Linked DNA regions of Alligator mississippiensis. The protein of the gene in region 1 purifies or fractionates together with the protein of each later gene. This does not show direct contact. Links are inferred from orthologs where the notes say so. Each region holds a gene or a part of one and is shown in the gene's direction. Other genes may lie near its edges. The genes, in order: DHX9, C1QBP, ILF2 and HNRNPAB.

Evidence for each region.
Region 2: the proteins of DHX9 (region 1) and C1QBP purify together in Homo sapiens (affinity purification with mass spectrometry; 3 studies listed by BioGRID and IntAct, with this or other methods). This does not show direct contact. The link is inferred for Alligator mississippiensis from reciprocal best matches to the Homo sapiens genes DHX9 and C1QBP.
Region 3: the proteins of DHX9 (region 1) and ILF2 fractionate together in Homo sapiens (co-fractionation; 5 studies listed by BioGRID and IntAct, with this or other methods). This does not show direct contact. The link is inferred for Alligator mississippiensis from reciprocal best matches to the Homo sapiens genes DHX9 and ILF2.
Region 4: the proteins of DHX9 (region 1) and HNRNPAB purify together in Homo sapiens (affinity purification with mass spectrometry; 3 studies listed by BioGRID and IntAct, with this or other methods). This does not show direct contact. The link is inferred for Alligator mississippiensis from reciprocal best matches to the Homo sapiens genes DHX9 and HNRNPAB.

What each region holds. Positions count from the first base shown.
Region 1 is NC_081828.1:53,696,117-53,703,491, forward strand, and holds the start of DHX9 (ATP-dependent RNA helicase A), read left to right. Parts: upstream 1-4,227; 5' UTR 4,228-4,307; exon of another isoform or gene 4,308-4,457; 5' UTR 4,458-4,469; coding exon 4,470-4,580; intron 4,581-7,375. UniProt on the Homo sapiens protein: Multifunctional ATP-dependent nucleic acid helicase that unwinds DNA and RNA in a 3' to 5' direction and that plays important roles in many processes, such as DNA replication, transcriptional activation, post-transcriptional RNA regulation, mRNA translation and RNA-mediated gene silencing.
Region 2 is NC_081837.1:15,044,009-15,051,362, forward strand, and holds the start of C1QBP (complement component 1 Q subcomponent-binding protein, mitochondrial), read left to right. Parts: upstream 1-4,087; 5' UTR 4,088-4,136; coding exon 4,137-4,374; intron 4,375-4,632; coding exon 4,633-4,783; intron 4,784-5,464; coding exon 5,465-5,552; intron 5,553-7,354. Other genes in the region: ATP-dependent RNA helicase DHX33, read left to right, coding at 17-103, 1,253-1,561.
Region 3 is NC_081838.1:13,197,875-13,205,047, forward strand, and holds the start of ILF2 (interleukin enhancer-binding factor 2), read left to right. Parts: upstream 1-4,124; 5' UTR 4,125-4,212; coding exon 4,213-4,217; intron 4,218-4,473; coding exon 4,474-4,530; intron 4,531-4,993; coding exon 4,994-5,036; intron 5,037-6,154; coding exon 6,155-6,259; intron 6,260-6,660; coding exon 6,661-6,738; intron 6,739-6,967; coding exon 6,968-7,070; intron 7,071-7,155; coding exon 7,156-7,173. Other genes in the region: NPR1 (atrial natriuretic peptide receptor 1), read right to left, coding at 1,247-1,943. UniProt on the Homo sapiens protein: Chromatin-interacting protein that forms a stable heterodimer with interleukin enhancer-binding factor 3/ILF3 and plays a role in several biological processes including transcription, innate immunity or cell growth.
Region 4 is NC_081832.1:73,224,778-73,232,315, forward strand, and holds the start of HNRNPAB (heterogeneous nuclear ribonucleoprotein A/B), read left to right. Parts: upstream 1-4,247; 5' UTR 4,248-4,345; intron 4,346-4,420; 5' UTR 4,421-4,441; coding exon 4,442-4,680; intron 4,681-7,538. UniProt on the Homo sapiens protein: Binds single-stranded RNA. Has a high affinity for G-rich and U-rich regions of hnRNA. Also binds to APOB mRNA transcripts around the RNA editing site.

The sequences.
Region 1 (7,375 bases):
GATTGCTGATTAGACCGGCTGACCAGGTGAAGGTAACCATGGCAGCCAGCAAAACAAAGAGGTGAGAGAGGGGAGACGTTTACCAGGTGGATCCTCAGGTGGAGAGACAGTCCCACGGAGGAAGAATCCACTGATACCTGCAAGCAGGGTTGTCCCTGGAGGGGGGGGGCGCACAAATTGGGGAGATTGCCCCAGGCCCTGCACTTTGGAGGGCCCTGCAGACAGTGCCTGCTGCAGTTGCTGTGCACTGCCAGCTCCGCCATGGCAGCTGCACACCACCATCCCCCTGCTTCAGCTGCTGGCCACCCCCCACTCCCCCCCAACCTCCTACTTACCACCCCCCAGCCCCGCACACCCCTAGGGATGTCTCTGCCTACAAGGGAAAGAGAGAGAGAGAAACTGGAGGTGAGCTGACAGGCTTAGGGGGAGTGGGTTGCACTGTGGTGAAGGGAGAAGGAAGACTGCAGGCTGTGATAATGGCTGGGATTACCCAGATCCTGCTGGGAATTCACTAATAAACCAATTTACTTTTATGCTGCTTCTGAGGTGAATTACTATGCCCTCTTTTGCTGGGGAATTAACTTCTTATTTTCCCATTTACATCAAGGCATGGGAGGTGAGTTGCAGGGAGGGAGATTTTGTTAGTCAATCCCACCTGGCCACATAGTCTACGGCCGAATCTCTGAATCAGCATCGAATCTCTGAATCCGAATCACTGTCCCTCCGAATCAGCTGAATCTGAATTCAAGTGAATACTTGCTGCTTTGCACATGCCTATTGCCTACCCCTGCTCTAATGATTGAATATGCTGCCCTCTTCCTTTCTTCCAGTACATACTAGCCAAAGCAGCCATGGAGTTGCAGCAGGAATTGACCCAGGGGTTTCTATAAAGCAGTAGAGAGCACTACCACTAAGTTTTTTTGAGAATGTCATGTATTTTAAGGTTAAGGAGTTCCATTATACATACTGGACCTAATTCTCCACTGCCTTTTACCTTGCGTAGTTATGTATACTATGATAAAGCACTATGGTAAAGTTTAATGTAAAGTGCTATCCATCTCTGTGTACAAGAATTCTGGCAGCATTTTTCACATTTCCTTGACTTGGTCTTCTTTGGGTGTAAGTCTTGCTTTCTAATTGCAGAACACAAACTTAGAAGCCAAGGTAGAGTTAGATGGTTGACTAGACTTTTCCAAAGATGTATAAGAAATTTAAATAAGCTTTCTTTTCAGTCAGACATGGAAAGGGAGATGATCTCCCCATCAGCCAATGAGTATGTGCATCTGCACCGAGTTCTTGTGCTACCATTCCTTTGAGAGAGACTGCAGAGCGCCAGCCTTCCAGGGTTCTAGGTAGAAGTATGCCCATGTACACTCCCAGCCAGAGCTATTCTAGGAAAATTTCTAGAATGTTTTCCCCAAGGCTTTTATTTTGTTACTTTTAGGATTATTTCTAATGAGAATGAAATCTTGTTACTGCTGTTCTAATGATGTTTACAAAACAAGACACTTTTTAAATAATAGGTAATATAGAAATAACCTATCTAAATATGTGATCTTCAAATGAGTAACTTCTATTTGTTTTGATAATCAACAAAGCTACCAAATTATTAAACTGGGTTTCTTCATGAACTTTTTTGTGTAACATTTTGATTATATTTCTGTGGGTTCTGGGGATCATAAACACATTCTTAAAAATAGTTGCATCACTGTTTTCTTTCTGCTTTGGAAAAATGCCCTTTGTGAGGCAGTAGAGGGGCAGGTGCCACTCTACTGGGAATTGATTTCTTTCTTTTTTAAAGAAGTTAGTAATTGTTTTTACTTTTGTTGCAATTTGGGATGAAAACAAATGTTAAGATATTGAAACTTTTCCTGCCGGATTGAAATCCTAAATTGTGTTTACCTCTGCTTAATACATCCTAGTGGCTGGTGCTAGGGCTTGCCAACCCAAGCTGCCCTGGTTCTGTTTTTGCCCCTTCATCTTCAATTTTGACCAAAAAACCCTACACAAAACACAAAAGAATTGGTAATTTTATGCCTGAGCATCTAAAATCAATCCAACCAGAAATACAGTATGAGAGGCACAGCCAGGAATTGTATATCCAGGATACACTTTTATTTTTTTACCTAAAAATGGCAAAGAGTCAAAAGTAGTTTCCATTAATTGTTCCTTTTAGCATAGCAGCCTTCCTATCTATCTCTGTCTCTTCTTTAATAGCAAGGGTGTTACTATTGTTGTTTAGTTCTCTAAAATGCCTAGCTATCTAGATAAACTACTGTGTGTTCCTTGCATAGTGAGGCTAATATGGTTAGCCAGAATGGTTTGCATGTGCCATTGTGCTGGAAAACTAAAGTTAGCATTAGTATATTTAAGTTCTGTTCTCTCAAATGTTGGTTTTTTTGTGGTTATTTCCCCTTCTCTATATGGATCCTGGCCTTCCAGGTGCTGAGTTTCCTGGATTGGGATCAAATAAGCCCTTAAGCACATACTCCACTTTAAAATGAGATGGTCACTTCGACTAAAAAAGGACTATTCAGATACTTGAAGTTAACTATATACAGTATTACTTTGGATCCAGGTGTTGAGTGCTCAAGACTTTGCAGAATTGACTGAAAATTGACACTGGACTTTCACAGGACTTTTACTCTGTGCAAGAAAATGAGAAATCTAAGCTTAGGAAGCAAGTCCCAGCTTTTCTTATGTTCCCTGGTTTATAATAAAACCCAACTTTGTTCTGGGTATAATTCTGCTAACCACCCAATTGCATTACCTTAAACCACACCAACTTTTTATCTCAGCTTCGGGTAGCACAGTGGTGTCAAATACATCTGGTCTTTCAGGCCAAGCGATTGATGCACAACCAACCCACAGACTAGCTGAACTGCATGGGGATGGCCACACAGGCCAGATCAAGCCCACGGACCCTCCCCTACATGCCAGATCCTAGCACCCATGGTGCTCACTCCAGCCAGTCTGGGGCCTGGAAGGAAGAGGCCCAGCGACCTGCCATGGGAACAAGCTATGATACTGCTGGGACTCCAATGCCATGGGTCCTGCCCAGGCATTTGCGTGTTACCAGGAAAAGGTCTCCAGGCCAGATTTGGCTTGTGGGCTATAGTATGTTTGACACTCCTGGAGCAGCAGAAGGGTAAGGCGGCAATAGTAACTTATTCACAACTACTTTTCATACTTCTTCCGTTTCTAGTCCAGCTCCTAGTACAAGCTAGAGCAGCACTTTAACTTGTCCTGGCTAATGTGGTCTCTGCGTAGTAAGTCATGGCACAGCTTCTGTGCCCCCTAGTGCATTCCCCTGCACCTCTTCATCTGCCTGTAGTCTCAGTCCTGGCACTCCTAGACAGTATGATTACATACAGCTGTAACACTTGGTTTTGTTTTTGCATCATGTAAAAGTGACCAATGCCTATTTAACAGCTGAGCTGTCCCCTTTTTTGGCTACTTTGATGTACAAGGAAAACCTCAAGTTTTATTTTTTTAGATTTTAAATTCCTTAATTTTTTTTTTAATTTTACAAAATCAACAATGTACATCTGCTCTTCCTAGGCCTTGCTCCAACACTAGCTGGAAGCTCTCACAGTACAGTTATTGTGAGCCCTACCCCCTGTATGACAGATGCATGTTGAGTCTTTAGCAGAGGCTTACTTTATTTGCTTACTCATTGGAGTTAAAGCAGCAAGAGCTTTAAACAGGCTAATATAAAGACCCTTCACTCCCAGTGGTTTATCTCTGGCCCTTATGGAATCTGCATGACGCGAGTGCTCCTGTCCTCGCAGGGGCCTCCTGCATAGATAGGTGAGCTGGCCATCTATCTGCCCAGGAAGAAAGATGCAGCCAGGAGGACCCCTGGTGACTGGGGGGGCCATCTTTCTGTCCCTCATCCATGCACATCTCCAGGCAGTTTCACCAGCTCCTTGGATTCGTTGGAGAGCCAGTGGGTGCTGGGTGGTGCATGCTGCTCCGTGTCCCCCCACAGAGCACTCGCTGTTAGTCTATGACCCTCGCTCTTGTCTGTTTGCTTTAGTTGTCCCAAGGACTCTGCTGGCGAACGCTTACTAGCACCCTCCAAAAACAGGGTAAGCGTTTCTGTGCTGACTAGTGCGTGGTGGACCCGGCGCTAGCTGCGAGTCACGCAGGCCCCCGGCCGCTGGGGGCGCTGCCCCGCCCCGCCCCTCGGGCCGGCTCCACCACTCTGCTCAGTGCGCATGCGTCCAGCGGGCGCCATTTTGCGGGGGTCGGTGGGCCGCGCGTCTCACCTGTGACAGCGGCCGGGCTGGGAAATAACGACGCAGGTCAGCGGCTGCAAAGCGTAGCTCCGGGCGGAATGGGGCGGTGCTAGTGCGCAGTCGCCGCCGGGCTCCGTCCCACCTGGAAGCTGCCTTTGCGAGGGCTGGGAGGGGCGCGCTGCTGTGGCAGCTGCTAACTGTCGCGTGTGCCCGCAGGGCGGCCCCGCCATGGGGGACGTGAAGAACTTCCTGTACGCCTGGTGTGGCAAGAGGAAGGTGACGCCGGCCTACGAGATCCGCGCCGCTGGCAACAAGAACCGGCAGAAGTTCCAGTGCGAGGTGCGGCGGGGCGGGGCGTCGTGCGGCGGCTGCTGCTGCTGCTGCTGCTGCTCCCGCGCGCTGTGGGGGCGGGGCTTTGAGGGGAGAGTGGGGCCTGGGTGTGGGCGGGGCTGCCGCGGGGCAGGTAGCCGGGCTCCCGGGGAAGTGCAGGGGCTGTGTGAGGAAAGACGCACCCGTGGTGGTGTAGGCCGGGCATTGGAGCGCAGTCCCACAGACAAGTTCAGTGGCGTACCGAGGGTCTCTGGCACCTGGGGCCCCATGCTTACATTTGCGCCCCCACCTCCGTCGCAGAACGGGAGGGAGGGGTCCCCTAGCAGCCTATGGCAGAGCCCACACCCACCCGCCCACCCCCTGTGCCGGAAGCAAGCCCCCCAATAAAAGATATCGTGCACACACACACAACCTGTACCACAAGCAAGCCCCCCCCCCCCCGCCCCAAAGATATCACACAGCCCTGTACTGGAAGCAAGCCCCCCCCAGTAAAAGATAATCACACACACATACAGCTGTACTGGAAGCAACACCCCCCCCCAATAAAAGATATCACACACACACCCCTGTACGGAAGCAAGCCCCCCCCCAAAAGATATCATGCACACACACAGCTGTCTGCCCTCTCCCTGGAGCTGTCCACGGCTCAGTTTCACTCCCCCTCCGAGCCCCCTTTACACTTATGTGCATGGAGCTGCTGCTTGGCTGTCCCGAGCAGCCCTGCAGATGCAGAGGGCCAAGCTGGACTGGACCCGGTGGGGAGCACGGTCACCACACCATGTCTCTGCAGGCAGGCAGTGGCCCTGTGGGGGAGTAGTTCAGACACAGAGAGGAGCCAACTTGAATTTTGGGGGTTTCTAACCCCCAAGGCCCTCCCAGTGCCATGGCCCACAGAGGTGCAATGTGGCAGGGTGCTCCTGGCCTGGCTGGCCTGGTTCCAACTGCCCAGCCCACCCCGCTCCAGGTAAGGCGTGACTCGCCCAGCCCAGCCCTCTCCCTACCAGACAGCGCCACTCAGCCCACAGATGTAGCACAGCTTTTTAGGCAAGACCCCAGTCCTGCCTCCTCTCCTCCAGCCCTATTGGTGGAGGAGGAGCCCTGCTTCCGTCTCACAGGGAAGCAAACGTGAAAACCGCAGTTTTAAACTTGGTGCCAGATATGGGCACTGAGTTTAAACTGTGGCTTTCGCTTCCCTGCTGGTGAGGATCCCAGGACTCCGAATTGGAATGGGCCCCTGGGCACGTGTGCCCAGTTTGCCCGTGCATTAATCTGCCTATGACCTGGCCAGCACCACCCCACCAGGCCTGTGCCCAGGGGCCATGGCCTCCCCCTTGGTGCATCACCTGAGCGCAGGGGACAGCTGAGGTGAAAACAGGGATGGGAAAGAGGCCTCAGGTTTAAAAGTGCTCCAAGGGGTAGACCCTGAGCAGAGCATGCCAGGCAGTGCCCACTGGCCCCTGAATAAATCCAGGGAACCAGTGGATGCTGCCTGGTGATACTCTGCCTCGAGACAGGAAAGTACAAGGGCATGGGAAGTGGCTCCACAGTTCCTGAGGACCCTTCTGGCCAGAGCCCCCTTCCTGGTGAGGTATACTGTCAGTTTGGCCAGGGCCAGAAGAAGGTTGTCCAGAAGGTTCTGGGACTAGGTAGGGCCATGGATGGGGAGTGCGTAAATAAACAGGTGAGGGGAGAAGTGCAGCCAGAACCTCAGTAAGACATTCTGGAGGAGGCAGTACAAGGGCTGTAGCTCCATCTCACCCAGCTCGCGGAAGGGCCTGTGGGAAATAGGCCTATTTGTCACCCTTTAAAACGTGAGCCCAGCCCACCAAGTCTCTCATTGGCTTCCCTTAGGCAGGGAAGCTACAGGAAAAACGGACAGCATATTTCTTGGAGCAAATAATGAAAAAACAGAGAAGGAAGTGCCACTCAGTTTCAAAACAAACATGCCGAGTGGGGACACTGAACAGAGCACACCAAACAGCACCCACTGGCCCTCAAATGAGTCCAAGGAGCCAGCAGGCACTGCCTGCTGATACTTTGCTTGGAGACAGGAGTAAAGCAGGGCAAGGAAAGCAGTCCCCAGGGACCCTCCCAGCCAGAGCCGCATTCCTTGTCAGATACACAGCCAGCTCGGCCAGGGCTAGGAGGAGGTTGACCAGGAGGTTCTGGGACTTGGTAGGGCCATGGACAGGGAGCACTTAAATAAACAGGTGAGGGAAGAAGTGCAGCTAGAACCTCAGCAAGAGGTTCTGGAGGAGGCAGTACAGGGGCTACAGCCATGTCTCTTCCTGCTCACAGAAGGGCCTGTGGGAAATGGGAGACTGGGCAAGACAGACCTATGATTTGACCCAGTAAAGGGCAGTGCTTATGTATGTGTGCGGCCATATATATGTAATGAAAGAAGCAGTCACCAGTGAGGTCTAGTATGTGTCAGATGTACGAGAGGATTTGGTGACCCTGTTGTTTTGCTGGGAAGTGGGTAAAGATAAGCTGTTCTTTCCTTTGTGTGGTGTGAAGCGTTGTACCAGCCTCATAGATTCATAGATGTTAGGGTTGGAAGGGACCTCAATAGATCATCGAGTCCGACCCCCTGCATAGGCAGGAAAGAGTGCTGGGTCTAGATGACCCCAGCTAGATGCATATCCAACCTCCTCTTGAAGACTCCCAGGGTAGGGGAGAGCACCACCTCCCTTGGGAGCCCGTTCCAGACCTTGGCCACTCTAACTGTGAAGAAGTTCTTCCTAATGTCCAGTCTAAATCTGCTCTCTGCTAGCTTGTGGCCATTATTTCTTGTAACCCCCGGG
Region 2 (7,354 bases), on another chromosome or scaffold:
GCTTGCTCTCTTTCAGGAGTGGTGCAAAGAGAACTTTGTGAATGGCCGGAATATGCTGCTAGTATCAGATGTCAGAGCTCAGCTCAGGGACATATGTGTAAAGGTAATTCTTTGCAATATGACTTTTCTTCCATTGTTGGCTTTGTATCTTTTCTGCCCCCAAATGGTTTCTCTGTCCCAGATGCCAGCAGAGGGAAATGCATTCATAACTTCAATTCCAAGTCTAAGTGCTGATGAGCTTGGAACTGACTCAGTCTCATAAAGAAGTCAGCTTGGCCTTGTCCTGGGCGGCAGATCTGTGGGCATGTCTTAAAGGTAGTTAGCCTGAGCTAGCCTAAATGATATTGAGCCATCCTTAATGCAAATCCTTGTCTATGCCAGATCCATGTAGTTATGTCCAGAATGATTCTGATCTAGCCTGTGTGCTGTGAGGGGTTTCTAGTGAGATATTCTATGGTCCTAAGCAGAGCACTGAAGTGGCTTGCTTTAATGAGCTAATCTGTGGGATGTGTGCGCCGGCCAGTTTGCTGTCTTGTAGCATGAGGCCTGTCTCAGTAATATGAGAACAGCACTTTATGTGGATAACTTCCAAGTGGAGTTGTTCACTGTTTGGGTGGACAGTTGTGAAGATGAAAGCACATGATGTGACACTGAGAACTTTTAATTAGGCTGTCATTAAGTGTGCACTACTGAGTGGCTCAGAGCTTGCCTGCCTGACTGCACAGCTTCTCATCTCTGTGCATATGGTGCAGGAGTGCCGCAGAAACGGAGCAGGCAACTGTGGATTTCCAGCACTGAGCCAAGATAGTTGAATTCTGGTGTAGAAGGGAGGTGATGGACAAGAAATTACAGCTCAGCTGGAACTGTGGGATAGTAATGGAGGATTAACAGCACCTGGGCTAGATCTGATCTGCATTTTCATGGCTGGGTAGGCAGCTTGTCAGGTGGGGCTGGAGGAAAACCTGACCCTATGTCCTCAACTGCACATGTTGGTGTAGGCTTAATGCACACCGCCAGGTAAGACTAGAGGTTCTTCAGTATAGTGGGACTGGGGATTATACCTGGGCTATAGCTTGGCCCATCTCCACAGGGGAAGACATCGGCAGTGTTGGAGTTTGCATTCCTGTTCCTTTTTGAGCCCGTGGCCTTGCAGAAGCCCATCCTGGCTTACATGGCAGCCCAACTCTAGGTTGGTGTAGGGAGCCTGTATGTAGGGTGCTATGTTATCTCTCTCTCTCTTGTTCCTGACCAGCTCTCCATGCCCATCGAGTCCTCCCGGTCGGATACGGGGAACATCCGCCGCTGCCTAGCTCACAGCCTCTTTATGAACGCTGCAGAGCTACAGCCAGATGGCACCTATGTCACTGCAGACACCCACCAGCTGGTGGCCATCCACCCATCCTCTGTCCTTTTCCACTGCAAGCCAGCCTGTGTCCTTTACAATGAACTGCTTCACACCAACAAATGCTACATGCGGGACCTGTGTGTGGTGGATGCAGACTGGCTGTATGACGCTGCACCAGATTATTTCCACAGGAAGCTAAGAACAGCCAAGAACTGACCAGTACTTGGTGATGTTGGACAATCTGCCTGGGATTTTTAGGGTCACAATCAGATGTTTTTTGTAATGAACAAACAGAAGCAAGAGAGCTTTGCTTTGGCAATCAGGTACAACCTTACAGAAAAACAGCTTCTTCCTGAAAGCTGGACCTCGCGAATCTCTGCTGGCTTAGAACAATCATCCTTGGTTACAAGGAATTATGTAAGGGCGAACGTAATGTATGCAGTATGTGTGTGAATCTATATATATATATATATGTATATAGTTGGGCAGAGTAAGGGGCATCAGATTCCAATTTTTAAGATGAGCTCAAGTTTTACTGGGGTACGTATAAAGAAATGAGATCCCAAAAACTCTACTGAGCAGATTTGAGTTTGGTTTTTTACAGTTGCCCTTGTATCCTTTGCAAGTTTTATTGGGGGAAAAAAAATTAAATCGTTCTTCTTTCTCTGTATAGATATAGGTATATGTAGAGAAAATGCCTTTTTAAATGTATGTTTTTAGGAGGGGAGGTGCTAATGTCTTTTACCTCATCAGACATCTCTGCCTAATGTCGGTCTCTCCGCCTTATTTTGAGGCATCCAAGGGCCAGTAAAGGGTTCCCTGAATTGACATTCATTGCCTGTGCCTGTCTGAGACATAAACCGTCTGGGCTCGATAGTCATGCAGTGCCCAAGAGCGGTTGTCAGCAACCTGTTAGAGCTGTTTTTACTCCTGAACATTATTTCTCAGAATATTTTGTGTGTGTGTAGAGATTAGACTGCCAGTGTCTGCATTTTGCCAATCGTGTTTGGCCAGTCGTCTTTGCCAGGAGAGGTGTCTCTTGACCCGACAGCCAGGCGTCAAAGCAGACCCCCAGGCCCTGTTCCAGACTAAGCCCAGCATGTTAGCACTAAAACCCCCCTCTAACTATGGTGCATGCACACACACCAAGCTCTATGTTTTGCTAACCTCAAGCACTATCTGATCTATTGCTTTAGCTAATCAGGCTATTTGGTAGCAACTTTCACAAAAAGACTATGAAGATGTCTGCTGGAGTCAGACTTCCATTGAGAACCCTTTAATCATCAAACACTTATTACTTCCATTAGGGCTTTACACCAGCATTTCTCTGCTTTTTCTTCCCCCCTTAATTTATATTTTGCCTTGCCTTATATTTTTTTTCTGGCATGGCAACATTTGTCATGTCCTAGGCAGTCTTTGCTGCTTACCCCGTTGGAGCGTCTAGCCATCAGTTTCTTCACTGGAGGAAAACATTGCAATAAGATCCAATCTTATTTTTTAATCCTGTGTTTTATACTAGAACTAAGAAAGGCTGGACCAGTCTCATTGCTCGACTCTAGAGCTTTCCCCTCGGGAACGAGCACAATGCGCTGCTCCATGTGACAGAGCAGGGGCGGATAAAAATGTAGAAGTTATTTTTGAACAATATCCGTGCGAGTACTTCTACCGGGACCTCTCCGAGAGAGGCAGCTTTTCAATTTCAACAGAAGTCTGTTGGTAGTTTTAGGCCGAGGTGAATTAAAACAGATTAGATTTCGAAAAGGGCGGGAGAGGGACCAGTTTTGTAAACGCAGTGTCACTGTGGAATAAAACGTGCTTAGTTTAATGCGAGTGGTGGTGGTATCTTGCTTTCTAAGTGATGCGGCGTTTAGTCCCCTCTTGCGTTCTTAAACATCCAACTTAAAAGAAAAAAGTGTGTGGCGGGGGTGGCTTACATTTTAATGGGGATCATATTTGCAAACCAGTTTTGACACCGTTAATTAACCGTGGGAACAACAAGCTGCTGCCTGCTGTGCGCGCAGGGGGGATGAGCTGTGCTTCCCATTTAAAACGTCTTTTCTGGGCACGAGCTTTGGCTACGTCTCGCTTGTCCTGGAGCAGCTTTGTTCTGCTCGGTCCGCAAAAACTATGAGCAATCCTTCTGTAAAACCTGGACTTTGTTCCAACTAATCTGCAAATCGCTGGCGGCGAGGGGCAGCGTTGGCGTAAACCGGCGCGCTCCAGGTACGCGGCGTGTCCCGAGCGACCCCGGAGTCGCAGCACGCGTCCGTCTCTTCCCAGGCGCAAAGGGTGACACTTCGTGTTACGGGTGCCTGTCGAAACGTAGGCGCTCGTCTCGCTGACCCTGCCTCTTTCTCCGTATTGTCCACGGCTGGCGAAGGCGCTGAGGGCGCATTTTGGCCGTGGCCGGCTGCACCCCGGGGGCCTCCGGGCAGCGGTGGGAGCGGGGAGTTGCAGAGCTCTGCCCCCGGCGTCGTACAGAAACGTGACGCCTGTCAAATAAAAGCACATGTCGTTGGGGCGGTCTCTCAACGACGTTTGGGGTTATTTAGAAACGACTAGTTGCACAACTGCCCGTTTCCCGTCACGCAGCGCCTGCAGAGCGTCGGCTCGTGCCGGGGTATCTGCGCGCGCAGCTCGAACAGGCGGCCCCACGGGCGGGAGGCGGAAGGGGCGGGGCAGGAAGCGCGCTTCCGGCTGGCGGCATCGGCTTCCGGGGCAGAGGTCAGGCCGGCCGCACTCCCTCTCGCACGTGTCGCTGCCTTTCTTCTCTAGCTTCGCGCCAGACGCCATGCTGCTAGCCCAAGCGCTCCGCTCCGCCGCCGCCGGCGCCCTCCGCTCGCCGCGCGCCCTGCTGCGCCCGGCCGCGCGCCTCCCGCGGGGCCCGCCTGCTGCCGCCGCCGCCGCCGCGCGCCCCTTCACGCGCTCCCTCTGGCTGCTCTGCGGCGAGGCCGGCGGCCCGCGGCCCTCCGCGCTCCTGCGGCCCCCGCCCGGCCTGTCCTTTGGCTGCGGCGGTCTCCACACCGAGGGTGAGCCTCCGGCCTGAGTGACCTTGGCCCTGGGCCTGCACTGCTGCAGGGCAGCGGGTCCCGCCTGGGGCCTTTCCGCACCCTGCTCAGGGCGGGCAGCCTCTGAGTCCTTCACCCCGCCTGGCAGCGCCGGCGAAGGGTGACGCAGAAATCTTCCCCTTCTTTTACCTGGGGGTCGGTGGGAAAGCCAGGGGTGGAGCTCGGGTCCAGGAAGCAAAATGTCTCCTGTCCCAAATGACCTCTTCTGTTCCTCGCAAGGGGACAAAGTGTTTTCCGAGTTCCTGATGGATGAGATCAAACAAGAAAAGAAGATCCAGAAGCACAAATCCCTGCCCGAGATGTCCGGAGGGTGGGAGCTGGAAGTGCAGGGCACCGAGGCCAAACTGCTGCGGAACGTATCTGGCGAGAAGTAAGTGATGCGGATCTGTGCGTTTCATGTTATTTGATGTTAGCAAACTGGAAACAAAACAAAAAAAAAAGCCCTGTATATAAAGCTGGGTGCGCACATGTGCTTAAGAGGCATGCGCATGTTAATGAAGAACTAAGTGCTGCTTCCCAGTGTCCCCCGGGGTTATGTATTTCTTGTAACCTAGTTGCGTTCCCCTCCTCAGCCCCGTCCCTGGTTGAGGCGCTCTGTATTTCCTTTATGGCTTTTGTCACGTTTGTTTCACAACCAAGGAGAAAACAAAAATGGCCAAGGAGAAATGCTAGATGTTTCATACTCATTACTTTTCTTGGAAAAGGGAGCTTGTCACGGAGAATTTTGCCCTGTTTCCTATCCCGTGTATTCCAAAACTTCATGCCACCATTTCACACAAGAAGAAAAACTAGAGAATTCAACCTACGAAACTGAAAATATCCTTGTTAGTCAATATAGGGCACTTACGGAGTTTAAACTTGGTGCAGATGGCTGTATTTTAAAACACATAAACTGGGGAGCAGTGCGCTGTATGAGGTACAGGGGAGATTCAGGGGGATGCTTAATACACTTCAAATCCTGTTCGCATCTTGAGTTCAGCACTTGAAACTTTGAGTAGGGTTACAGTTAATGTGGGTTGTACAACTAACTCTTCCTATTGTGATGTTAAAGGATTTCAGTCACGTTCAACATTAACAACAGCATCCCACCAGTGATTGATGAAGAGCCCCAAGAAGGACAGAAAGCTGATGAACAGGAGGTAAACCTACAGCCTATGTGTTCCCTTTCAGTTAGTACACTGTAGGGTAGAGGGGAAGTCAGGCCATTGCCCAGTTGTGTTTGGGCAGACACTGTTAACTTGGTCTTCAGAACACAAAGGTGCTTAATGCTGGCATAATGCAGATTGTTGTTACTTTTATTTTTTCCCATTACTACAGTAGCAAAAGCCCGGCCTACAGTAGCAAAAGCTTTTGGCCACTTGGCATAATCTCTGCCAGGGCAGGAGGAATTTTTTATAGTTGCAAGTGAAGGTAGTTGATCTTATAGCTGCCTTCCCTTCCTGCTGTAATGAAGGCCAGGTCTGTGCAAGGAGCTCCTTGCTACTGTGCTATAGAGCAAAGAGAGCCTGGTGTGGTGCCCCCACCCTGTCCATGAGTCGTATCAGGGAGAGCTCAGTGCTATGAGCTGCGTTTACGCTACAGCTGTGTACTGGTCTGGCTGTAGTAGTCAGGGATCACGTCTCTTCACATGTCTGGCTGATACCAATGGCACTAAGAACTTGCAGTGCACACAAAAACTTAAATGGCTTGATCCTTGATCTTTTTATAAGGTCACTGACTTCCAACAGTTAGTTACAAGGGAGAGCAGAGTCAGTATATGGTATTGGTAGTTGTTTAAATCACCAGTGTGGTTTGGGGCAACCAACTCGCTAATCCCTGAGCACTTCATAGTAGTTAGGGGTCAGAAGGGACCTGACTAGATCATTTAGTCTGACCCCCCGCCACTGGTAGGAGCACGCACTGGGATCACACCACCCCAGACAGGTGTTCATCCAACCTCTTTTTGAATTTACCCAAGGTAGGAGCGAGGACCACTTCCCTAGGAAGCTGGTTCCAGAACCTAGCCACCCTAACAGTGAAATAGTGCCTCCTAATTTCTAACCTGAACCTATTCTCCAGCAGCTTCTGGCCATTGTTCCTTGTTGCCCCAGGTGCTGCTGGGGGAAATAGGGCCCTTCCTATTTGCTGCTGATCTCCCCTAACGTGTTTGTAGGCAGCCACCAAATCCCCCCTCAGCCTCCCATTTGCTGAGGCTGAACAGGTTCAGGCCCCTCAGCCTCTCCTCATAGGGCCTGCCCTGTTGCCCTCCAACCAAGCAGGTGGCCTTCCTCTGAACTCTCTTGAGGCAGGCCACATCCTTCTTAAAGTGCGGTGCCCAGAACTGGACACAGTACTCCAATTGAGGCCGGACCAATGTCACGTAGAGGGGGAGTATCACCTCTCTGGACTGGTTTGAGATGCATCTTCAGATGCACAACAAGGTGTGGTTGGCTTTGCTGGCTGCGGTCTGGCATTGGTGGCTCATGTTCATCTTGGAGTCAGTAATGACTCCAAGATCCCTTTCTGCCTCTGTGCTTTCAAGGGGGGAGCTCCCCAGCCTGTATGTATGCTGTGGGTTCCTTCTCCCCAGGTGCAGCACCCTGCACTTACCCACATTGAAGCCCATCCTGTTACCATCCACCCACTTCTGTAGTCTGTCTATATCTAGTTGCAGCCTCTCTCTCCCTTTGAGCGTGCCTACCTCTCCCCACATCTTGGTGTCATTGGCAAACTTGGACAACGTGTTTTCCACCCCCTCGTCCAAGTCGCTGATGAAGACGTTGAACAGTGTAGGCCCCAGACCGAGCCCTGGGGGACCACACTATTTACATCCTGCCAGATCAAGTACACCCTGTCCACCACCGCTCTCTGGGTGCGCCCCATCAGCCAATTTCTGACCCATCCAACTTAAGTTAGAGGTTTGAGGAGGAATCTGGGTATGCTTGCACAAACTTTGTTTGTA
Region 3 (7,173 bases), on another chromosome or scaffold:
CCCCCCTGGCCCAGCCCAGCACGCAGGGAACATCCTGTTATTGTCCTGCCGCGCGGACGCCGTGTTCCTGCCCAGCTGGGTGAGGGGCCACGTGCCCCCCGGGGCTGCAGCAGGGCCGGTCCGTGCGGCGTGGCCTGCCCTGCCCTGCCTGCCCGCCCTGTGGCTGCCACGTCCTGTTTTGAGGACTCTGTTTCCTTCTCCCACTGCCAAGATCCTGCCGTGATTTATGGGCTGGGCGGGCGCTCGCCCTTCCCTCCACCATGGCTTCCACAGGGCCCAGTGGAAACCCAGGGGCGCGAGGCTCCGTGGCCATGGAGCTGCCCCAGCTTTGCAGCTGTTTATGGGGCTCTCAGCTGTGGGGGGTGGACAGGGAGGGGGTGCCCAGGGTGGGGCAATGGAGGGTCCCAGTGACAGCAGCTAGTGAGAGGACCCTGGGGGGTCAACCCCGAGAAGACCCCGGGGACCCATCATGGCTCTGTGCTTCCCCCCAGGGCTCCGGGTGGCTCCATCATGCTTCCCACTTCATGTCAGGGCTGGGACCCTCTGCCAGGACACCCGAGACATGCCAGGGGTAATGGAGACTGGAGGGGACTTGGCACCAATTTTGCTTGTGCAACAGGGCTCTGCCATGGCATGTCTGTTTGTGTGCACTGTTGTGCGTGCATGCACACACGTGCGTGCGCACGCATGCACGCACACACACACACACACACACACACTCTTGTACCACATTAGGGCTCGATCCAAAGCCCAGGGACATCGGGGGAAACGTTCCAAGGGCTGGCCAACAACTCAGGATTGGGTCCGGGGGGGAAAGGAGGAGCCATGGGGGTGCCCAGCCCTGGGTGCACCCCCGTCTGGCTGTGCCTGGCCCCCCCACCTCAGCTGGGACTGGGGGGCTGACCCCTTCCCTGAGGATGCCCCCTTCTCCAATCCTCAGGCTGCTCCCTTCCCCGATCCTGGAGGCTGGGGGAGCTGCTGGGAGCTCCCGCCCTGGAGGGATGGGAACGGGGAAGGGGGATGCACTTGCCCCCTGACCCATGTGGGGCTTTGCTTCTTCCCGAGCCCCCCAGGAGCAAGGCAGAAGTACGGTCTCCCCAACCCTGGTCACGGCAGATGTGTCCCCTTCTCACCTGTACCCTGACCCCTACTGCCAGCCTGGCCTGGGGCGCTGGGGCAAACCTTCACTGCGCAGAGTGGGCCTGGGGCCTGTGGGGCACATGGGGCAGGGGTTGGGGGCACTCACTCCGTGTCTTGCTCTTGATCTCCTGCACAAGGAAGGTGTAGTTGGCCTTGTCCTGGTCCTTGAAGGGGATGTCGAGCACGGTGAGGTTGTGGAAGCTGGGCAGCTGCACGTAGATGCCCTCGATGGCAAAGTAGCAGGGCCGGTCATCCAGCTTGTCGTCCCAGTACACCAGCATGGCGTGGCGTGTCCAGTTGAAGTGGCGCTGCAGGGCCACAGCGAAGGCGCCCAGCTTGCGGTGGCTGGGGCCAGCCCGTGTGGTCAGTGCATAGACGTCTGCCTTGTCGTCGAAGCCGTGCGCCTCGGCGCCCGCCGTCACCAGGGGCAGGCGCCAGTGCCGTGTGAAGCGGGCCACAGGCGCTGAGGCGTAGATGCAGCCGGGCCCCAGGAAGGCGCTGGGATTTGTGGCCCACTTGAGGTCCACGGCGGCCAGTGGTGCGGCCGAGTCGGAGCACACGCCGTGCTCGTCCTCGCTGCTGCCGAACACCCATTGCAGCCGGTGCCGCGGCAGCAGGTCGGGGCGCTGGTTCACCCGCTCCATGGCCAGCTGAATGGCCGGGCCGACCCGGGGCCAGGCCCACGGGTAGCTCAGGTTGCGGTGTGGCAGCACCACGGCCATGGTCAGGTTGGCGTCGTGGCCTCGCGCCCCACCCACTGCGCTCAGCAGCGCGCCCAGCAGTGCCACGAGTGCCCGCCGCATGGCGTCGCTGCCGTCCCCACGCCTGCCCTAGGCCTGTGGCATCGCGCCCCCGCGCCCTGCCACGGCCCCGCCACCCGGCGCTGCTTCTCGGTGCCGCGCCAGCGAGCGACTGATTATCTCCCGGGCAGGCAGTGCTTTTCCTTCCCCTCATTCAACGACAAAAGGGCTGTTATCATCGCACGGCTCCTTAACCCCTTGCTGCCTGCAGCTGCCGGCCTGCCCCGCCCCCGTGCCCGCAGGGGGAGGCAGGAAGAGATGCCCCCCGAGGGGCAAATCTATCATCTTAATGGGGTGGGGGGGGGTACAAAGGGGGGCGATGCAGGCTGTATGCATTACCCCCCCAGGGCATTCTGCCATAATTAGAGGAGAGGAGGGTGGGGGGTAGTGGGGGCTATGGGACAGTGGGTGCCTTTGGCCCCCCAGGCTGGGGGAGGGGATGGGGCAGGCTGGGGGAGCCCTGGGGTTGCATGGGAGGGAATCTGTTCCCCCCTTTCATCCTGGCAGCTAGGAGGCAGCTGGGGGGCCGGGGTGGAGCGGGAGCAGTGGGCTCATTCTGCACATGGTTGGGGGTTCCCAGGTGTATCCCACTTGACCCCCCCTGAGCCCCTTGGGACCTCGGTACCCACCATGGCCCACACTGGCAGTGCCTGCCCCAGCCGGGGCGGGGGGGGGACGAGGGGAGGGGAAAGGGTTTGATCCAGCTGGAAAAACACCGATGGGTGAAAAACACCAAGCATGCAGCACCCGCCCCCGCAACCACACTGGACCTGATCCCAGCAGCTGGGGGCCTGATCCTGCCCTATCCTGGAACAGCCCCCGGGCCCCAAGATGTTCCCCCGTCCAGTGTTGCCAGGCTCTATGCCACTCCACCAAGTGCCAGCTGCCTGAGTCAGGGGATGACAGGTGGCCCCCAGCCCTCTCCCTTGCTCTGCTCAGGGTGGACCCCAGCGGCCTGGGCCAAGGATCGGGCCCCACTGGGGGGGTGCCATGAGCAGCCGGTCATGCACTCACCCCTGACAGCCCAGATCCTGCCCTGCCGGCTGACCCCAGGCAAGCTTCTTGGGGGACATGTTTGCACCCTTGACCTGGGCACATCCTGCCAGCCCGCTTTCCCGCAGGGGAGCTGCTGGGTCACGCCCCCTGGCAGCTGGGATAAGTGGAGGTGCTTTTGCAGCTTCATTAGTGCAGGACATGGGATTGCCACAATCGGGCATTCCCGTGACCGGGGCACTAATGGGGCCCATTACCCAGGTAAAGAGCAGGGCAGGTAGGTGGGGGCCCTGACACATGGGGAGGGGGTCCCTGCCACCCGCTGCCTCTTTGGGGCAGGGTCCTGAGACCCCTGCCCACCCTTTCTCTGGGCAGACAGGGCAGTCATGAGAAACAAGTCAGGGAGGGCATTGCCCCCAGGAGAGCAGGGGCCTGGGCACCATGACCTGGGGGGCAGAGCTGGGGGGCTACAAGGGTGGCAAGGCCCAGGCAGGGCCTCCCGGAGCCCAGGGGCATGGAGCAGGCCTAGCCCTGGGGCAGCAGCACCCCCAGGAATGGGGGTACCAGGGATGGCAGGGCAGGCCCTGGGACAGTGGGTTGTTTCTGCCCCCTCCCTGGTATGGGAGAGCACGTGCTCCCTGGATGTGCCCCCCCCAGGTGTGGGGAGGCCCCTCAGGCTGCATAGGACAGCAGGAAAAAGCAGGCAGGCGGTACTAATGAAAAGCAGCTAATTAATTAATTACCCAGCTTTTTAATTAACCCAAAAGGAGCAAAAAAGAAACAACTAGCAGAGGATGGTTTCGATCCATCGACCTCTGGGTTATGGGCCCAGCACGCTTCCGCTGCGCCACTCTGCTGCTTGAATTCAGAGCTCTGATGACTCCATATAAGGCTACCTCCAGCCACTCACGCATGCGCAGCGAAGACGCCCATGAGCTGCCACCCAGCACCCATTCTACGCACGTCCCGCGCCACCTTGCGGCCCCGCTCGCGCCCTGCAAGACGCATGCGCAGTAGCACGGGCCCGCTCGCCAACGGCCGCCTTCTTGTTCCCGCCCCCCGGGCCTGTAACTGGCCCAGCGCTCCCTCTCCGATTGGCTCGTTTGAGATAGATGGGGAAGCAACCCAGTAGCCAAACAGCGAGCGAAAATACCAGCCCGCGGTTGGCTGTGCGAGAACCAATCGCCGGGCCGCTTGTTGCGGAGTGGACAGCGCTGGCCGGCGGCTTCTTCTCGGCGGCGGCGGCGGCGGGTTCCATTGTTCGGGGGTAGCGGGCGCCATGAGGTGAGCGGCGGCTAGGGAGGCCCGGGGGGGTCGGGATGTGGGGAGGGGCTGAGGACCCCGCAGGCGGGGCGGGGAAGGAGGACGGGGTGCCCTACAGGGGTTGCAGTCGAGGGGGTGAGTGCGGGGGATGCAAGGGAGGGCTGAAGGGGGGTGGGGGCGCCTCGCGGGGAGGATGAAGGGGGTAGAGGGCTTGGCCGTAGGGGCAGGGGCTCGGGGCCTTGCTCAGCTGTGACTCACTGCCTCTTCTCTCTCCCAGGGGTGATCGAGGTCGCGGCCGTGGCGGGCGCTTCGGGTCCAGGGGCCCTGGCAGCGGGTGAGCGCCGTCTCTGTTAGAGGGTGCTGGTGGGAGCGCTGCCTCCCTAGCCTGGGACCCCACTTTGAGGGGCTGCCAAGGGGGCCCTGCAGGGCCAACAGCCTCTAGCTTGTTCCTGCCCTAAACCTCTGTGAGAAGCGAAGCTTCCTAGACCTTCAGTGCTGGAGGCTGCATGCGAGAGAGCAGCGGTAAAAACGCTGGTCAGATGCAGCTCGCTCTCCCTTCCAGCTCCGCTCTCTGCCCCTCTGACGGGAGGCTGCGCAGCTTGGACCTGGCCTGTGGTCTGACCCAGTCAAAGGCAGTTCTGATTTTTCTCCAGCCTAGGTTCCTAGGGAGAGGGATGCGTCTAGTCACCCATTTTAAAGCTTCTCAAAAGTTTGTCCAGGCAGGGGGGGGGGGAATATTCTTGTCCTTTGCATATAATGAGAACTCACCTCCATTTTCTCCCACTTTTTCCTTTTAGATTCAGGCCCTTCGTGCCACACATTCCCTTTGACTTCTATGTGGTAAGTAACCTCTCGCAGTGCTTGGTGCCGGCTGTATAAAACAGCAGCAGGGTTGTAGTGGAAATAACACTTTGTTGAAGTAAAAAAAGTTGCTTGTTTCTTTTAAGAAAGGGAATGTAATAGCAGAACATCCTGTGGGGCCATAGGAAATAGTGAGTTTCAAAACCAAAAATGTACGTCTGATTCTTGGCCTGCTCAAGTGAGCGGGAGGCAAGTAGGTCTTTGAGGCAGTGTCCATGCAGCGTTTGACAGAGGGTTGAAGACGTGTAGTATGGAAAGCCTTGGTGTTTATCACTAACATGCATCACAACCTATCCCACTGTTAAAGAGTGGAACAGGAAATGAAAATCCTCTCCCAGATCTGCAGCTAGTAGCCCAAAGTGTGCATTACCTTAGCCAGGTTCCCAGAGCAGTAGAGTCTGGCCTTCCTCCAGGTCTTGGTTTCTGTGTGGCCTAAACAGGAATGACTTTCTTCTCTGTCTTCTTATAGAGGAGGAAGAGGAGGAGCTCATTTCCTTCCTTCATTGAGCCTGTCTGGTGTAGGGACACACAGGTGTGGCTTTCTCAGGGAAAATGGGTTAACCATTTCCTTGCCTTACAAGGCCAGGATCTTTGTTCCCATTGCAACAATTCAAGCGGTTTGAGTAACTACAGGGTCTCATTAGGAAATTCGGTATGTCATCTAATAGGTCTCAGATGCTTTACTGCCTTTTAGTACTCAGCTGGATCCATCATTAGAGATATACCTTTTAAGTCCTACCTCTCTATGTCATTTTGTTGCTTGTAAACTAAAAAAGCTTCTGTGCAGAGCATGCATAAATGCCTTGCTGCAGGTTCTGGTAACTAAGGTGCAGTTTTCAGAGACCTGCTCCTGATGCTGGAGCCTCGGTAAAGATGTGGGTAGGAAGGGAAGTTCTTTTTACTCCACTGAACCTAGTAGAAATAGAATGTGCAGCCTGGTTGCCGTGTCCAAAAGGCTGTAAGCAAGAAAATGTATTTGGAAGCTACTAGGGAAAGTGGAGAGGAAAACTAGGATAAGCTTGTTTTCTTCTTAAGTGCTGCACCAAAGATCTTGTATCACTGTGGAGCTGCTGCTTTAACGTTTGCTCCTGTTGCAGTGTGAGATGGCCTTCCCTCGCGTGAAGCCTGCAGCTGATGAGACGGCATTCAGTGAAGCCTTGCTGAAGAGAAACCAGGATCTGGCTCCAACTGCAGCCGAGCAGGTTAATAAAGCTTGCTTCCCATGTGCTTCCTATGGAAAACTTTCCTGAACTCAGACTGGTGCTAGGTTACTCTTAATTCAGTGTAGACTCTTTTGTAACAAACACCAGAAATGATCTTCCTGCAAAGGGAGACCTAGCTTTGCATGTCTCTCGACTTGACCAAGGGACAGAACCATGGCTGGGTGCTAATTCCAGCCTGCTGTAGGATGGAAAAGGGCTATGTTGCTTGGAAAGTGGTTTTAAATCTGTTTTTCCTGACTTGTCTGTTCCTCTGCATGTCTCAGGATTATCCAAATCCCATAATTTCCCAGCCTTTGAGACAAAGGCATGCATTTGTATCTCAGCTTTAGTTGAAACGGTCACTTGCTGCTGCCATCACCGCGTGCTCTCTTATTTTTCAGGCATCCATCCTGTCTCTGGTGACTAAAATAAACAACGTGATTGACAACTTGATAGTGGCGCCAGGAACTTTTGAAGTGGTGAGTCAGTCTTGTCTGCCGAGATGTGCCAGGTCTGCAGGGTTGGTGCAGCTCTTCGGAGGCTGCCTTAGTCTGGTTGGGTGTCTCCTTGTCCTGATGAGGCAGATCAGTTTTACAGCGTTGGTTTCTTTGCTCCTGCCCTTAGAGGCTCCCTCTCGAGGGAGGCTGTGAAGTTGAGTTGTGTGCTCTTGGCTTGTATTAACTTTTTTGGCTTGTTCTCTTGAAATAGCAAATTGAAGAAGTCCGCCAGGTGGGATCCTACAAGAAGGGCACCATGACGACAGGGCACAATGTAGCTGATTTGGTGGTGATCCTGAAAATCCTGCCTACCTGTAAGTGTCCTCTGCTCCTGATCGGGTGCGGCAGTCAGAACCACTCCAATGTCTCACTTCATTTTTTTTCTCTTTCCGTCTCTAGTGGAAGCAGTTGCTGCCT
Region 4 (7,538 bases), on another chromosome or scaffold:
ATAAGCTACTCATGTCCCATTTCAAGGTCCTTCTTGGTATAATTTTATCCTACTTACAATCTCCCATCTAGCTCCCAAAGGCTAATTCTCACCTCCAATGAATCCCAGGATACCTGGTTCCCTTGCCCACATCAGCTATTTGAACACTTTTCTCCTTTTTCCAGGGCTGCTCTCATGTGTGGAAGAAGCTCTTCCAACATATTTGTAAATGTAACTCATTATCCCCCTTCAAATTAAATTTGCCAAAGCAAGGGGATTCAAAGTAAAGAGACAGATATAGTTTACATGTGCTCAATCAACCTTGGAACTTGCATGCCTGGAAACTGGGTGTGGATAAACCTGTGCCTCTAGAAATGTGCTCTGAATATTTGGCACTGTTAATACTGATTTCAAAATTAGAATATTGAGTAACAGATTTCAGCTAAAGGAAGAAAAGACCTAAAGTAGCAATGATTGGATAACTTCTAAAGAAGCTAGCATTAGAAGTCATACAATCACTGCTACTTTATCACTTGTCTTCCTTTATCTGAAATCTGTGCATCATAGAAGGCCAACTTTGCCATTTAGAGTAAAGCTTCATCTATGAATAGTCCTAGTAAATTAATGGAACAACTTGCATACTGGTGATATTATTGAACATATTTATTACAGCTGTGCCTGGAGGTCTACCAAGAATGGGGCCTCATGTTCCAAAGCAATGAATAATCACAGTTATTGCCCTGAAGAGCTTCTAAATAGGCAAGACAGACACAGAATGGGAGAAAAAGGATAATTTACACCAGAGAGAGTGAACACTGTGATGGCAGTGAATGGCAAGTTAGCTCCCAGGCTTTTGGGGGCAAGTTTAGTTAATAGTAGAAAGGAAAGGGAAACAGGGCAGGGGAATGTTAGTTCCCAGGTATTTGGAGGAGAGAAGAGGAGAAGTGGGTAAGAGAAGAAGGTTGCAAACAAAACTTGCATTAAAAGACTGTAGAGGAGGGGTGGGAGCAACCAACCAATCAGCTCTTACTCAAAAGAAGAGTGCCGAAACTGGGCCCAAGACCTCCCAGATCCATACAGAAATAAAACTCAACTTGGTGTCAATAATAATAATAATAATGAAACTAGCAGGATCTGGCAATCGGCATATGAAAACATGATCTTTTTTTTTCCCCAAACAGTAGATATGTTATGTAAGAAACAACACACGAGAGGGGGTGTGGTTGTTGTGAAATAACCACAGCCTTTGAATACAGGCCGAAGACCAAAAATCAAATTGCTCCAACAGCCCAGAAGGACTGTTTACAACAACTTATTCAGTGGGGTCTGATGGTTACAAATAATAAATAACATGGATTCAGGTCCTCTGTGATGCTGACAGTGGAGTTTGTGATGTAGCAAATGTCAGGCCCAAAAAGGACTCTGCAAGTCCCTGTTATCCTGGAGGCTGTTCTAATTTGCATTACCTGCCACAGGCAGTCAAGGACTGCCAAGATGCGGCTGCACACCTTGCAGTTAGGTCTGTTTTTTATAAACAGGTGTTTATGGATATACTCTTCATCCGAGTCTCTACAAGTCCTTAGTTTCTTGGCTTGGGCATGGTCCAAGGCCTCTCTATTGTCTCAGATTTTAACCTTAAGGTGCCAGCTGTAGAATTTGTAGTGAAGTGAAAAGTGAGACCTATTTGGATATGAACTAAAAAATGTGGGATATGAATATATTAATATCCTGTGTGGCTAGAACATAATATTCACCAGTGGGGCAAGCCTGTTCCTAGGGGTGTAAATTTATTTGTATTGTGAAGGTTTTAAATTGTTCTAAGAAGTCTCTATTTGTGACAAGTGAAAATGTAAAACCAATGAATTAGAAAATACAAACAAACACTATGTCTAAGGATTTAGCGATATACAGAGATTGTATTATAATTCCCACAGCCGTTGGGTGCATTTCACAAGCTCATAAACTTCAGCTTGGACTATTTAAAATAGCTGTCACTACAAGCAGCAAGACAACTGAGTGGCTAGAAAACACACTCAAAATAGTGAATTCCCGCTGCGTAAGAAGCACCTATTTTTTTACCTGACCTCATAACCATACAAAGGTTTGCTTAAAAGGTCTGGTTCAGGGCCTCAAACAATAGAACGGCTTTATCGTTTCATATTGTTCCATAGATTGCAAGGCTGGAAGGGACCTCGGAAGATCATCGGGCCAGCCCACTGCACCAAGCAGGAAAGATAACTGCTTTACTGACTTCAAAAAGCACTGGACTGAAACCTTAAACTCCACATACCAATTCTATTTTACTTTCTGTTTACCATGACCACAAAATTATTCTGTAACATTTGCTCTTTTCTTGTTACAAAGAGGAGAAAATCAATCTAATTTTTTCCTCTTGATTTTACTGCATTACCACCTTTGCAAATTAATTTTGTGGAGGGTAAAAATATGTTTTTAAGATGATCTGCCCTAGAGTAGCCTGGATTGCAGGCTGGGTTGCTCTACAAGAAGACACATCATCCTAAATTAGAATAGTAGGTGCAGCACCCTAAAGAGAACCAAGAAAGAAATCTCAAAACATCAAGGAGGCAAATGGTTTTGTCATTCAGCAACATTTACAAAGAAACTCAGGAATCAGTTGTCACTTCCATCCTTATGCCAAGTAGTCTCAGTTGGAAAAAAGAAAGTGGCGATACATACACTGAAGGTTTACTCCAAAGCCAAGCTCCTCCCCCTGAAAAAGGCAGAATGAGATACTAACTACAGCAGATTATGCAGAAGCTCATGATTACCTGAGCTGTTTTGGGCTCCTCAAACTTGGCTGCATGTCAATGGGTTCAAATTCACCCTTGGGCAGGTTGGACTGAGGCACAGGCACGTGTTCAAGGCTCTCACTCCCACACACACGTGATAACATCAGAATCCTATCCATCTATTCACCAGGAGACTATCCACCTATCTATATCTATACCTGTATTTTATAGATCTCCTGGTGGATAGATAGATGGATGGATAGGATTCTGATACATATAGGTCTCCTATATATATAGATATAGATATAGATATAGATATAGGTCTCCTAGTTGCTAAACTAGCAGGTCTAGAAAAATAAACAAACCAGTTTAAGCAAAAAATAAATACACCTGCATAGCCTTTTACACTTATTTAGTTGAACCAGTACAACGCTATGAAAATAAGCTTTCCACCATGAGAGACGTCTGAATCAACAAGACTGCTCACACACAGTTACACATTTGACTGAATTTACAAGGCTGGCGCTTAAGTAACATGTCAGTTGCCTCCACTCCGCTCCAAGAAGTCAGCCCAGGGCCCTACCGAGCAATGAAAGATCAACCCATCATCACTGGACTGTGTCACAGCATAGCTCGGGTAGGAAGTCCGATTCTCTTCGTTTTTAATTATACTCGAGATCCAGTGCCTCGAAAGCTTTAGGGTACACGCAACCGTTTCCACAACTCTAGCTACTCTGCAAACTCAAGTTGAAAAAAATAAACAAACAACCCAACAAACCTGAGGTGACAAAGCTAAGCTTCAAACAAGGCCAAAGTCAGACCTGATCACTCCGGTTACTACAAAACGTGTACAACACCCCCCATGCTTTCCTTTCATATGGAAATAAAGCACTGAAGCAAGCACCCAGAGGTAGCGAAGGCTATACCGCTCATCCGTCTTAACGCCGTGACACCCCTCAGGTTCGGGGCTCCCGCGCTACGCTCCCTTTCCTCGAAAGCTAAAGACACGTCAACATTTGATGGCGGCCACAGCCGTCGAGGCGCAGCGCTGAGGGTGGCGATGCTCGACCGGGAGCCTTCCCGGGCACGCTGCAGCGATTCGGAAGGCAACCCCAGAGGTTTCAAATGAGAAACCGAAGGGGTGAAAAAACCATCCTGCCCAGTGGAGAACTTCCTGAGCAGTCGTTGCAAAAATAAAATAAATAAATAAAATGGCCTTAATATTTTTCTATAAGTGAAAAAAGAAAGAAGAGGTGAAAAATAAAAGATGGGAAGGAGAGCCACTGACTCAAACCCCTACAAAAGGCGGCCCCAGCGCAGCGACCCCCAGGAGGTGCAAGGCTCCCACCAGCCCCAAGCAGAAGGATGAGGCCAAGCCCCGCCCCTCCTGGAACCCACCAATGGGCACCGCCCGGCCCTTGAGCGACAGCCAGAGGGAGCCAACCAGCGAGCTTGTTGTTGGCGGGTGGCTCGCTCTCCGGCTCTATAAAGGCGGCCACGCGTCGAGGCTGCGGCCCTGAGAAGACGTGTCTCGGGGGGAGCGCAGCACGCACGCAGCCGCGCGGGGGTTTTAATCCGATTCCGGCCGGCCCGGATTTTATTGGGGCGGTTTTAAGGTGAGCGCGGGGCCGGGCCGGGAAGGGGAAGGCAGGCAGGCAGGGGCCGACGCTGAGCCGCGCTGTGTGTTGCAGGCGCCGCCGCGGAGAGGCAGCATGTCCGAGGCGGAGCAGCAGCAGCAGCCGGCGGCGGCGGGCGCCACCCAGAACGGGCACGAGGCGGCCGAGGGCGGCGCGGAGCAGCAGCAGCAGCAGCAGGCCGAAGCCGAGGCCGAGGCCGGCGGGGGGGCAGCGACGACGACGGCGGCGGCGGCGCCCGCGGCATCGGCGCCCGGCAGCCAGAACGGGGCCGAGGGCGACCAGATCAACGCCAGCAAGAACGAGGAGGACGCGGGGTAGGCGGCGGCGGGGGCGCGGGGCCGCCGCTTCCTTTGTTCTGGGGCCGCCTTTTGTTGGCGCCATGTGGCGGCTGCGGCGGGGGAGGGGAGCGGAGCGGAGCAGCGCGGAGGGGGAGGGGCGGGCGCTGCGCAGGGCAGGGCAGGGCAGAGCCGCCCGCGGGGGGTGGGGGTCGTGGCCCCGGGAGCCTGGGGTGTCACCCGCAGCAGGGTGGAGGGGCTTTGTCCTGCTCGCCTGGCCCCCCGCGGGCCGGGCAGGAAAGGCCCCCGCGGGCGGTGTTTTCGTGACGAGGGTGGGGGTGCAGCAGACGCTTCGTTTCGTTTTAATGCAGCGGTGCACGTCGGCAGAAATGAGGCGGGGGGGGGGCCTGGGCGAGGGGGATGGTCGGTGGTTCCTGGCCTGACAGATGGCGCAGCACCCGTGTTCAAACATGACCCCCCCCCACAGTTGTGGGTCCTGCTTGGTGCAGGGGCTGGGCCTGGTTGATGGTCCGAGGTCCCTTCCGGCCTAGGAAATGATGCAGCCTGAAGTGCCACCAGCACATCTTTTTCAGTTGGCCCTTCGTGTCATTTTTGTCATAAAGTAACTATACCAAATTTAACATGTACCCTGGACGGGTTGTCTGCGTACTGAGGGTGGTGCCGGTACCAGAGTGGGAACTGCTATGCTAGGTCTCTACTTGCTCTCTCTCTCCTGGGAGGTGGGAGGGCCAGGAAATGTGGGTGTGAGAAGTCCTTTTTTTAAATCTCTTGCAAGTGTGAAGGTTAAAAATGATTGGAGAGCATCACAGTGTAGTGGCAGGCTAAGCTGCAGGGCCCCAGGGCACTGGCAGGAAGCCTTTTCTCATAATGTCAATATCCTGCCACCAAAAGTAGTGACCATGCAAGAGGAAGTAATAGTTGTAATGGGGAAAATGAGACCTTTTGGCTTTCTGTACTAGAGGATTTTAGACTAGGTATTAGGAAGTCTAGAGTTTAAGTATATTTCTGTACAGAAGATGATTGGCCTGAATGTTGGGTGAAGCCAGGTAGTTCCTACTCCTATATCCAATTCCAAGACAAAGATTTGTAATAACATGCAGTAAATGCTGCCATGGTGAGAAACGAGCTCAGTATGCTGGTAGCAGCCCCATCCCTACTAGGCAAAGTACTTTATGGACAGCAAAGTTCTAGCCTCACAACTGGGAGTTTCAAGACTTCCACTACAGGGCTATTTTGCTGTTTGGTTTTTAAAGCCCCCAAAGATTATGGAAGCACTAGCAAAGGACAGATCAGAGCAGCCTTGCAAAACTTCTCTTGTACAGGGAGTGAAAGCTGTTCTGGGGAGAATGAAACCAATGGCCATTATTCTGCTGTTGTGGTAAAGAGTGCGTAAACATGTCCCTGGCTTGGTAAAACCTGATCTGGTTCTTCAGGGCTGGATTAGTGACAGGGTAACAAACAAACTGTTTAACAACAACAGCAGAATGCACTCGACAGATCTTGTAATGCATTTGGTCATGACTGCTCAGTATTTGAAAGAATAATGTTTTAGGTTAGGTGGAGGGAAGGAAGGATTTCTCTTTACCAGATGCATATTGCAGGCTGTATCTAAAAAGATGAGCATCTACCTTGCAGATTGCAGGGAACATAAATGTATATGCTTTACCAGGTGGAATTGGAAGCCTTAAATTAACCTCAGAAAATTCAGGTTACTGCAATTCAATTAAGCTAAAATGCACTCAGGAACTGGTATCTAGTCACTGGGCTGCTTCTAAACAAAGGCCCACCTTAAACTGATTTGGGAGTCCTTACAGATGTACAGAGCCTAAGATCTTTTTTGAACTGTTTACTTTACTTGTTTGTGGCATCAAAAATTCCTGAGATGGATGATGTAGCTCTCTTACCTGATGTGCATGAACCTGCTGTATCATGTGCTCTCTTAAATTAAGAGCCAAGGGAGTTGGATATCCTTTATCAATAAATTCTGGTTGCCTTGGCTGATTTGTTTGGGTGTTTTGTTTGTTCTCCCCCCAGTTGCTAAACTTTTTTTCACTTCCTAATTTTATCTTTTTTGCCAGTATTTTGTGTTTGTGGCTAGATGGGCCTAAACTTCCCTCCCCTCCCCCCTGTTTCCAATACATGGGAAGTGAGCCTTTAAAAAGGTGGGGGTTTTTTAAGGAAAGATCTTTGTAAGTGGTGTCTTTTTAGAACTGCAGATTGATTATTCCCTGACTTCATTACAGTGTGACTGTAGTGGAGATGAAAACGTACTCTTATTTAGTAACTGGACAAAAGCATCAATACAAAGGCATTCGCCCAGTTCTAGAGCAAGGTCTTGTCTCTGTGCAGAACCAAGTTGTCAGGGGTCAGAGGGTGTTTGCAATAAGTTCAGGAGGTGATCATTTTCATTTTTAAGCCTTCTAGTCCTCACAGGTTAGGCACTGCTTTGCCTATAGGTCAGCCTAACTTCCCTCTTGCTATCTTCCTTCAGCTGATAGATTGCACCTTTACTGATGCTAGGTCTTACCCCAGATTTAACTAGGAATATTTAATTGATCCACCCTTTTTACTTTGGAAACTAGAAAACTCTCAAGTGGCAAGTAACAAAATACTGTAAAAGTATTGGGCATCAACGTGGATGAAAAATAGTTTGGAACAGTTAACTTTGTCATATTTTTGTAATGAGTGCTTGGGATACTCCACAGTTATCCTCTTGGATTTTAAGTGAAGTTAGTGTTGAGCAATTCTTCTATGCCAATACTTTTGATGGAATACCTAAATATGGGAATGGCTTAATCATCACAGAGCACCTGAAGGATATACCCAAGTTATACTTAGGCTGTAAGTATTCCTTATTTTAATCTTACCATTATGAT